2 linked regions of the Macaca fascicularis genome follow. The protein of the gene in region 1 interacts with the protein of each later gene in a pairwise test. Links are inferred from orthologs where the notes say so. Each region holds a gene or a part of one and is shown on either strand. Other genes may lie near its edges.

What was found.
Region 2: the proteins of ANKS1A (region 1) and DOK3 interact in a two-hybrid assay, tested with the Homo sapiens proteins (2 studies listed by BioGRID and IntAct). The link is inferred for Macaca fascicularis from reciprocal best matches to the Homo sapiens genes ANKS1A and DOK3.

The regions. Positions count from the first base shown.
Region 1 is NC_088378.1:136,802,617-136,807,431, reverse strand, and holds the start of ANKS1A (ankyrin repeat and SAM domain-containing protein 1A), read left to right. Parts: upstream 1-1,904; 5' UTR 1,905-2,008; coding exon 2,009-2,196; intron 2,197-4,815. Other genes in the region: TAF11 (transcription initiation factor TFIID subunit 11), read right to left, coding at 387-557. UniProt on the Homo sapiens protein: Regulator of different signaling pathways. Regulates EPHA8 receptor tyrosine kinase signaling to control cell migration and neurite retraction.
Region 2 is NC_088380.1:184,450,466-184,455,197, forward strand, and holds the start of DOK3 (docking protein 3), read right to left. Parts: upstream 3,004-4,732; 5' UTR 2,365-3,003; intron 2,268-2,364; 5' UTR 2,152-2,267; coding exon 2,086-2,151; intron 1,170-2,085; coding exon 864-1,169; intron 1-863. Other genes in the region: probable ATP-dependent RNA helicase DDX41, read right to left, coding at 4,397-4,533, 4,700-4,732. UniProt on the Homo sapiens protein: DOK proteins are enzymatically inert adaptor or scaffolding proteins. They provide a docking platform for the assembly of multimolecular signaling complexes. DOK3 is a negative regulator of JNK signaling in B-cells through interaction with INPP5D/SHIP1.

The DNA.
Region 1 (4,815 bases):
GTCTTAACATCTAAGACGAACCATATTGCGGTGAAAGGGGTGCTACGAATCCTGGGTTTTAGCTCTTGCACTGCGTCTCAGTGTGACACTGGATCCCAGTTTCCTCACCACTAAAGCCAATAGGCTATTAAAACTCCCTTAGAAGTAGCTTTAATCCCTTGACAAGACTAAAAATATTAACGCAGTGCTTGAGCCTCTGGAACGGAACCAGCACTGGAGTTCTGTTTGGTCGTCCGCTCTCTTCCCCCTCAAGATTAACGATCTGGAGGGAGTTCTGGTGAGTTCGAGTTCTCGTAACTTGGGAGGGACTAACCAGAAGCCCGGCAAGCACCCAGTAACACGATCTCTGGGTATTCCTTCAGCCTCATCGATACATCTCTTCCTACCTCGCCTTCCTCCGCTGCAGCTTCTTTCAAGTCCGCATCTGCGTCTCCGTCAGTTTCCTCTGGGATTCCATCCGTGTCGGTAGCCCCCGGGTCCCCGGACGCAGCGGCCGTCTCATCCGACTCCCCTGTCTCTCCACCTTTGTCGGAGGGCGACTCGCGGGCATCGTCCATCACGGATAGGATTGGAGGGGAGAGGAGATCGCGGCGATGTCTGAGGCAGAAGCTCGGAACCCCGAGCTGCACAGGACAGTATCTTACTTCCTGTCGTCGCGCAGCGATGACATCACCCCTACCGCTCTCCTGAGGGGTCATTTTGAGGCGCGCGTAGAGGACTAGAGGACTCATTTTAACTTTGGTTTGGCGACAGTGGGAAGCGGGAAAATTGGACGTAAAGAGCTCAGACTATGGATCCTCCTAGCTAGGAAACCAGCACTTGTGAAGGAGCGCAGTTTTGTTTACTAAATAACTTTTTCCTTTTCGCCTGTCTAAAAATTCAATACCAGTTAATCCCTTCGTTAACCCCTCAGAGTAAAGTTGGGGGATCGGGAGAAAACTCAGTTCCGTTGTATGGCGGTGTCGTGGAATGAGGCTACCCGGGATTGGTAAACTTTCAGGCAAGACTCAACCTTGTGTATTTCAACTGGCCCGAAACCGCGGGTCTGTGTGTACGTGGAATTGCTAGCATTTCCGCTCCATTCAGCAAGCACCTTAACAACAAAAAGTCATCTAGCTTGAGCAGAATTTATCCAATTCATTTATTCATCCACAACTATTGACTGCGTACTTCGATTTAGAAACAGTGCTAGTACCAGGGAACAAAACACACATAGTTTCTATCCAATTAAATGATTTTTTTTCAGTTCGCAAGTATTCAAGATTGAGGTTTGTTTCTACAAGTCTGACACTTTTCTATCATTTTGGTTAATCTTACCAAAACTAAGAGGAAAGCCTAAAGAGAGGAAGGTGTCTCCTTCGAACGTTTCACTTTAACGAACTAGTTCATGTACTGGGAGGATGAAGTGGTGAGGATATTTCTATTTTAAAATTTTCTTCTCTTCCCTCATAGAGATACGAGGGGGAGGGCGTTTTATTCACCTGGGTATGACTAGGTCCCAGCACCTATTACATATTTAATTTATGCGTGCTTAAAGAATGTCCTTGGAAATGTAGGTGCGCGTTACCATATTTATCTCTTTGTTTCTGCGCTGCCTGGACGAATTGCCGTATTTCCTGTCCCAGGAGCTCCCAAAACGTTTAGGGAAGGAGCGCACTTCGGGAGGCGCGTACAGGTGGGCCTGTTTGTCCCTTTCCACCTATATAATGGGGACCCACAAGGCGCTGTCCCCATAACCCGTGAGGCCTGTCTCGGCACAGCAAAATCCACCTGCGCTGGTCCGCGGAGCCCCGCCCAGCTAGGTGAGCTAGGGGGCGGGGCGCGGGGGCGCGGTGACGCGTGACGCCGGATCCCGGAAGTGACGCGCTCGTGGAGAAAAGGCAGGGAGGGGGGGTGGTGTCCCCAGCCGGTTTGGGGGGTGCGTTGCCCGGAGACGGAAAGTTTGGGAGCCCGAGCAGGCTCGGCTGCAGCCCCGGGGAGGGGGGTCCAGCGGGTGGCGGCCCTGGGGATGGGGAAGGAGCAGGAGCTGCTGGAGGCGGCCCGCACCGGGCACCTCCCGGCGGTGGAGAAGCTGCTGTCCGGGAAGCGGCTCTCCTCTGGCTTTGGGGGCGGCGGCGGCGGCGGCGGCGGCGGCTCTGGGGGCGGCGGCGGCGGCGGCCTCGGCTCTTCCAGCCACCCCCTCTCCAGTCTGCTCAGGTGGGTACGCGCCGGGGCCGGGCCGCTGCCTGCAGACCCCTTCTCCCCCACCCGTCTCTTGGGTCTCCAGAGAGATCGGGGGTCCTGAGACTCGGGCGGGGTGGGCTTGTGGCGTGCCCGGGGCGAGGCAGGCGGCGCACGGGCCAGGATACCGGAGGGCGCGCGGGTCCGAGTCCACGCTGCTCCGGGCTCGCCTGGTCTCCCGTTCTGAGCCGGCTGCGAAGAATGGTGGGAGTGCCCAGGTGGCAGCCTCCGCCGCATGGCACAGCCGGGCTTCACCCTCGCTCGCTACAGGGTGCCAGCTGTCGTAGCCCACAAAAGCCAATTTGGAGCAAATATGTATATCATATATATACATATGCTCTCCCTCACCTCCTGCAGAAACTCCCACGCCTTGTAGAATCTCGAGGCTCCTCTGGAGGAAATTCTATTGATTTTTTTCTCTTAGGAACTTGGAACCTTCCACCAGGCTACGCAGGACCTCGCTTTTCCCGCCCCCCCCCCCCGCCCCGCCCGAGACGGAGACTTGTTCTATCACCCAGGCTGGAGTGCAGTGGCGCGATCTCGGCTCACTGCAACCTCCACCTCCCGGGTTCAAGCGATTCTCCTGCGGCTGCCTCTCGAGTAGCTGGGATTACAGGCGCCCGCCACGACACCCGGCTAGTTTTTGTGTTTTAGTAGAGACGGGGTTTCACCATGTTGGCCAGGCTGGTGTCGAGCTCTTGATCTCACGATCCGCCCGCCTCGGCCTCCCAAAGTGCTGGGATTACAAGCGTGAGCCACCGCGCACGCCCCCTCACTTTTGTTTATATTAAAATTGCCTCTGGATTTATCATTTTCAAGATGTTCGTCTTTTAGCCTCTCTTGTGCTTGAAGTTCAAATTGTAGTTCCTTGTAGTGAACCGTATTGAATTAGTCTAAGTGGCATATGCAGGATTCATCCGGGGGTTTATTCATCTAGAAATAAAGGCAGAGACACTTGTTTAGGAAACCGAGGAATGCTGTAAACTTTTCCAAGGTCTGTTGTTAAACGCTTCAATCTGGAACTGTAAGGACCGAGGGGAAAAGATCAGTTTTGTGTGGCTTCGAAGGGGGATTGGAGGTGCTTTGTCAGTGTGAGTTAAATGTGTTGGTTCAGCAGCGCTTTCATAGCCTGATTTCTTTTTCCTTCCTTGTTCTTTTGAGGTTTTTAAGAAGTGGAAGTTCATTTAGAAATGGCTTCGTTAGCTTTTGTTCCCCATTACTTTACGTAACTTCAGTTTGAGTGAGCTTGGACCACAGAAGCCTAAGGCGCTAATAAATTGTTGTTAATAGATATTAAGCACTGAGTACCAACCCAGGTATTTACAGGAAGATTTTGAAAGCAGTATAAGTAGGTACTTAAGATTTGTTGAAGAAATAAAAGTATCAATTGGAGGACCATAAATTTCTAAGTAAATGGATGGTGGATGGTATCACTCACTGTAATTGCTAGCAGGTCAGAGAACAGACATCATTTAGGGATGGAGTGGAGGTCAGGGCTTCCGAAAGGAGGGAGACTTAAGCTGGTCTTGAAGGATGTGAGGATTTGGGTAGGTGAGTTATTATGGGCATGTTCCAGGTGGGTATCCCATGATCAGAGGCACAGAAATGAGAACGGAAACTTATTTGGTGCTCCTGAGGCAACAGAAGAACTTCCTGCCTGGACCCTTGAGAGGTTGGGCATAATAAAGGTAAATAATAATGGATGGGTATACTTCCATATATCGTGTTTATATTCTCAGTCCCTAGATCAGTGCCTGACAACTTACAGGTGTTCAATAAATGTACAGTGAATGCATGAATTGGGTTTTGGATCTCACCTGGATTTGCCACTCTGCAGTTCTGATGTCTGAAAGGCGACAAGACTGTACAGGTTTGGAGATGCCTCTGTCTTTAATGAGTTGATGACATAGCATTTGGAGATTTTCCAGAGATATCTTAACCCTCAGCATATCCTGCTAAAGTGAGAAGTTTCTCATATCTCCCACCTTCAAGTACAGGTCAAATTATTCTTTTTTTTTTCTGGAGACGGAGTCTCGCTTTGTTCACAGTCTGGAGTGCAATGGCACTATCTCAGCTCACTGCAACCTCTGCCTTCCTGGGTTCAAGCGATTCTCCTGCCTCAACCTCCCAAGTAGCTGGGACTACAGGCACGCTCCACCACACCCAGCTAATTTTTGTATTTTTTGTAGAGATGGAGTTTCACCATGTTAGCCAGGCTGATCTCAATTTCTTGACCTCGTGATCCGCCCGCCTCGGCCTCCTAAAATGCTGGGATTACAGGCATTAACCACTGTGCCCAGCCTCAGGTCAAGTTATTCTTAGCGTGCTCACTCAGAGACTGTTGAAATTCTGCTGAGGATTTAACTGCCATATAGTTAATATAGTTAAGCAATACTAGGAAACCTGTTGAGCACAATGCTTCTACTTTGGGCCTCTTGCTGATGTGTCCCGTCTCTGCCATAAAGTGTGGGTGTTAACTCTCTGTTCCCCAGAGTTAGAGAGCTGGCTCCCCTTGACTTTCTTCCATGTCTTTTGTAGAGAGGGTAAATGCCTAAGAGCTTCCCAGCCTCTCATTCCTGTGACTCCTAGGGGCAG
Region 2 (4,732 bases), on another chromosome or scaffold:
GACCACGTTTTGTTTATCCATTTGTCAGCTGATGGCCATGTAGGCTGTTTCCACCTTCTGGTGGCCGTGAGTAGTGCTGCTATGGGGTTTTTTTTGAGATAGGGTCTTGCTCTGTCTCCCGGGCTGGAGTGAAGTGGCACGATTATGGCTCACTGCAGCCTCGACCTCTGGGGCTCACGCGATCCTGCCGCCTCACATGCACATGTTTTGTTTGAACACCTGTTCTAGTTCTCTTGGGCACACACCTAGGAGTGGGCCTGTGGGCCACATGGTAACTCTGTTTACCTCTTTGAAGAACCCCCAGGCTCACTTCCTTTTGACCCATCACAGACCTTGTGGGGCTTTACAAACGTGTCTGGCTACAACCCTCCAAAGCCTTCGCCTCACACTCAGAACAGAACCACACACATGGCCTGGGGCGTTTCAGCTGCTCCCCTAAGCTCCGTGATTTGGCTTCCTCCTGCACTCCTATCCTTCCAGCCATGTCGCCTTCTTTCTGCCCTTAAACACCCCACACTGTCCGACCTCGGGGCCTCTGCCCACGGGACTGCCTCTGTTCACAACTCCCCAGGCTGCCCCTGTCCTCAGACCTTTGCCCAGTGGGCTCCTGTCATTCAGGGCCCTCCTCTGAGAGGCCTTCCCTGACCACCCTGCCCGTCGCACCCTCAGTTCCTCCTGCTCCCCTGGCGGTCCATTTTCTCCACGGCGCGCGTGGCCCTCTGAGAGTCATTATAGATTTACTTTTCCCAGGATTGTAGGTGCTCGGTGGAGCTTGCTGGGTGGCGGGATGTGAGTGAGCATGGAGGTGGACAAGTCGGGGGCAGGTGCCCCAGCCCAACCACCCCCCTGCCCGCCGCACTCACCGGGAAGGCCAGCTGGCAGATGGGGCCCATCCAGGCCTGGCGGTGCTGCGCGGCCAGCAGATGGCTTCGCTCGGTGGTGGTGAGCAGGAAGGCACCGGTGTCCCGGGGGCAGCTCTCACCGTCGGCCGGCAGCACCGACACACAGTCAGCCAGGCGGATGACCCGTCGCTCCCCTCGCCGGCCAGGCCCTGTCGACCTGTCACCTGCTGCTCCCAGGCCACCATCCCGGACCTCCCAGCTCTCCAGCCGCGCCACGCCTGATGGGCCTCCTGCATACAGCAGAGCCCACACCTTCCGCCAGCACTTCTGCGGGAGAGGCGGGGGAGAGCGGAGACTCCTGGGTGGCAGATTCTCCGTGCCACTCGGTTCAGCACAAGCTGCTTGGCAAACGCTCCCAGCCAGGAGCAGGCCCCTGCTCCCTAGTTTCTCAGGGCGCCAGGAAGGAGGCCTTGGCTGGGCTTGGGACTGGTCAGCCCTGGGTTCAAATCCCAGCCCGCTCTTCCCGAACTGTGACCTCCACAAGCATCAGTGTCGTCTCTCAAAAGGCCACGAGAACACGAGTTGGGGCTGCTACCGGGTCATGTTTGTAAAGCCTCCAGTGGCCGGGCAGACCACCAGACACTGCCATTATGTTGGCTCCCTCTTGCCCCCAAAAAGGGGCACTTGGGCCACAGGCCAAGGGCTGGGGTGGGAGGGAGGCCTCCGCCTCACGCTGGTAAGGAAGGAAACATGCAAATAGCTTCGAGCAAAGGAAATCGACGGTTTATCTGCCTGGGCAGCAGCTGCAGCTGAGCTGCGGGGGTGTGGGGCCACTGCCGAGGAGAGGTGACCCCCCTGCCTCGCTGCTCCCAGGACAGTGCCGCTGCAGGGAGGGGCTCCACCCTTGGGACTCCAGCTCAGCCCCTCACCCTCCCTAGGGCCCGCAGTGGGTCAGAGGCTGTGAAGCTCTTCCCTGCTGGGAGGTTTGAGCCTTCGACCCTCTCCCGCTCCTGTATTCCCCGTCTCTCCCAGAGGCAGGGTCTGGCAGAGCCTGCTCAGCCCCTGCCATCTCTGGCCGAGACCCGTGCTCTGTTCCACTCCCCATACCTGGGGTGGGATCCTTCACCCTGACTCCCTTCCCAAGTCTCCCAGGTCTGCCTGGGCTGTCCGAGGCAGGGGCGGAGGCTGCATTCTCCACCCACTGTTGGTCCTTGGCAGCTGCCTGGCAGCCAGGAGTCCCCACCTTGCCAAACTTGACATGCTGCTGGTAGAGGATGCCATCCTTGATAGGGGTCTCCACAGGGTCCATGGTCACGGCAGGGAGCAGGGCCGCTGCTTCAAGACCTGGGGAGACTGATGACAGGCTGGACGGGAACTCCTCACACTTCCCCTTCTGGCCACTTCCCGTCCTCCGTCCAGAAGCAGCTGCAGGCCGGGGGGAGGGGAACCTGTCTTCAGCTCGGGCTGGGGCAGCGTGGATTTCCTTCCTGGGGTTCTGGCTGCCCAAGGTGCCCACACCTACCTGGAGGGAGTCCCTGGCCGCCTGAAGGCAAACAGCCTGCGCCCGCACCTGGTTCAGCTGGGCATGAGCGTCTGGTGGCAGGCTGGCTCCCTGCGTCATGCGTTCCCGCCTTCCCCCGACCCGCCCTGGGCAGCTGTGCACCCTGGCCTGACGCTCCCTGGCCGTGCCTCCAGCCGGGACCCTTCTCTAGCCAACTCCTGGCTTTCCCACTCGGCGTCCCAGCTTGAGCGCCTCACCCCATCTTGCTGCTCTTTCTCCCTGAAATCTCTCGTGTTCACCTGCTCCTCTCCACCCGACGAGCCGCTGAACGTTGGCAGCCTTGGCATCCCCCTGGGGGACACAGCCCCACTGGGGCCCCATGCAGCACTCGCCACAACCCAAGACCACCCCTGTCTTTCCCTTTCCTGGGCTGCAGCCCGGCTCCTCAGCCCGACACTCCGGGCCCGTGTGTTCCGGCCTCCATCTCCCTCAGGCTCATTCCCCCAGACCAGCCCCTCCGGGCCTCCTCACCACTGTGCCGCCTGGGAAGGTGGGTCACCTCTTCCTCTTGGAGGCCTTCCCTGACCACTACACGCTGTCCCAGAGCACAAAGGCCCTCACGCTGGGTATCCAGTCCACATGGGATCCACACCCCTGAATGGCCCCAACCACGTGAGTGTGGGTGGCAGGTCCCAGTGGGCCCCGGAGAGGTCACATGTTCATTTAAAGCGTTGCTTCCTGCTGGGGGCTCATTTTGTTGGCTTGCCTAGCAGGAGACCAGTAGCGGGGCTGTGTGTGTGTATCTTTATTCTGGAACAGTCTCAGGTCATTCAGTGTCACCTCTGGGACAGAACATGGAAGCAGGCTAAGGAATGCCGTTTGGGCATGCACTTGGCCAGGAAATATTTCCTAAAGGCCTCCCAGCACCCGGCTCTGTGCCCACTGTGCCCAGGCAGCCCTGAGCTCCAGCCACCTCAGACACCATGTCCTTTGCATTCTCATCGTCATTTCAACAGTGAGGAAATCAGTGCTTAGAAAAATTAAGTAACTTGCCCAAGGCCACACACCAAGTGACAAATATGGCTTGAGCAACCGCCGTCCCACTGGAATGAGCATGTGGCCATACACACAAAGTGCCCGGTTCAGAGGAAGTGTGGCCGCCTGTGCCGTTCCCTGCCTACCTCTCGCCAGATGCCGAGATCCTGCTTCATCTGCCAGCGGTCTTGTGACTGCCGTCCACATTTCTGTGTGTGCATCTTTCTCTCCCCTCGCCTGAGAGCTTCCCAGGTAGCCATCTCCCTGGCCCGTCTAGATCCTCACAGCTCAGCAGAGCTGGGCACAGAGCAGACTTAGGGGGAGCTTGTGGCCTGAACGGCAGTTCTATGACATCTGCTGCCTCCTCAGTCAACAGAGCAGAGGGCTTCCTACAGGTGGCTGGCGCAGGCAGGCAGTGGGTGGGGAGCCTCAGGCAAGCAGCAGCCCCCCAAGGGGCTTCAGGAGAAGCCCCTGAAACATCACACCACTGACAGGAAGAGTGAGCCCGAGAGCTGTGACAGCTGGCCAGGGAGACCAGAGAATCCAAGCACTTCTCCTTGGCCTGCCAGTGTGGTCCCTCCTTGAGTCATAAATTCACACAACCCAATGGAGAGATGCTCAGTCCCCAGACGCTGGCACCAGCTCGGTGGCTCCTTCCATGCCCAAGCACCAGCAGGCCGGGTGTTGGCAGTGCTAGCGGGAGACGCTGGGGCCTTGCCTCAGAGGGGCTCCAGAGGTCAGAGGCGATGTCTGCCCCAGGAACCAGGGGGCGGATGAGATGAAACACAGAGGCAGGGCCAGGGCTGGGATAGAGGTTTGTGCTTTAATGGCAGCTGGGGTGAAAGGAAACAAAAATAGTAATTCTGAGGAGCACAGGGAACAGGCAACTAGGACCAGTCTGGCCCAGCCCAGGCCAGCCGAGCTGAGATGCTGGTTCTGTCCAGGGGGCTGCTGTGTGTGTAGACTGGCGGCAATCTTGGGGACTGAGGCCCCTTGGAGAGGAGGGAAGACCATCGGGTCAGAAGTCCATGGAACTGTGGGCCAGGTAGTCCTTGCGGCCGATGTTGCTGACCTGCTTGGTCTGCATAGCCTCGAGTTTGGGGCAGTCGGTGATCCGATGGCCCAGGCCCCCGCAGAAGGCACAGCCGCGCTCTCCTGGGGGAATGGGGACAGGGATCAGCCAAGTCAAGGGCCAGGATCCATGCCCTGGACCTCAGGCACCCTGTTAGGCACCCTCGGTCCCTGTTTCGTGTTTCTGAATTCCAGCACCCCCTCCTGCCACCTGCCGGCTGGGGACTCAGGGATCCCGCTCCGCAGTCACCTCCAATGTCCAGCATGGACTCGTCCCCGCAGT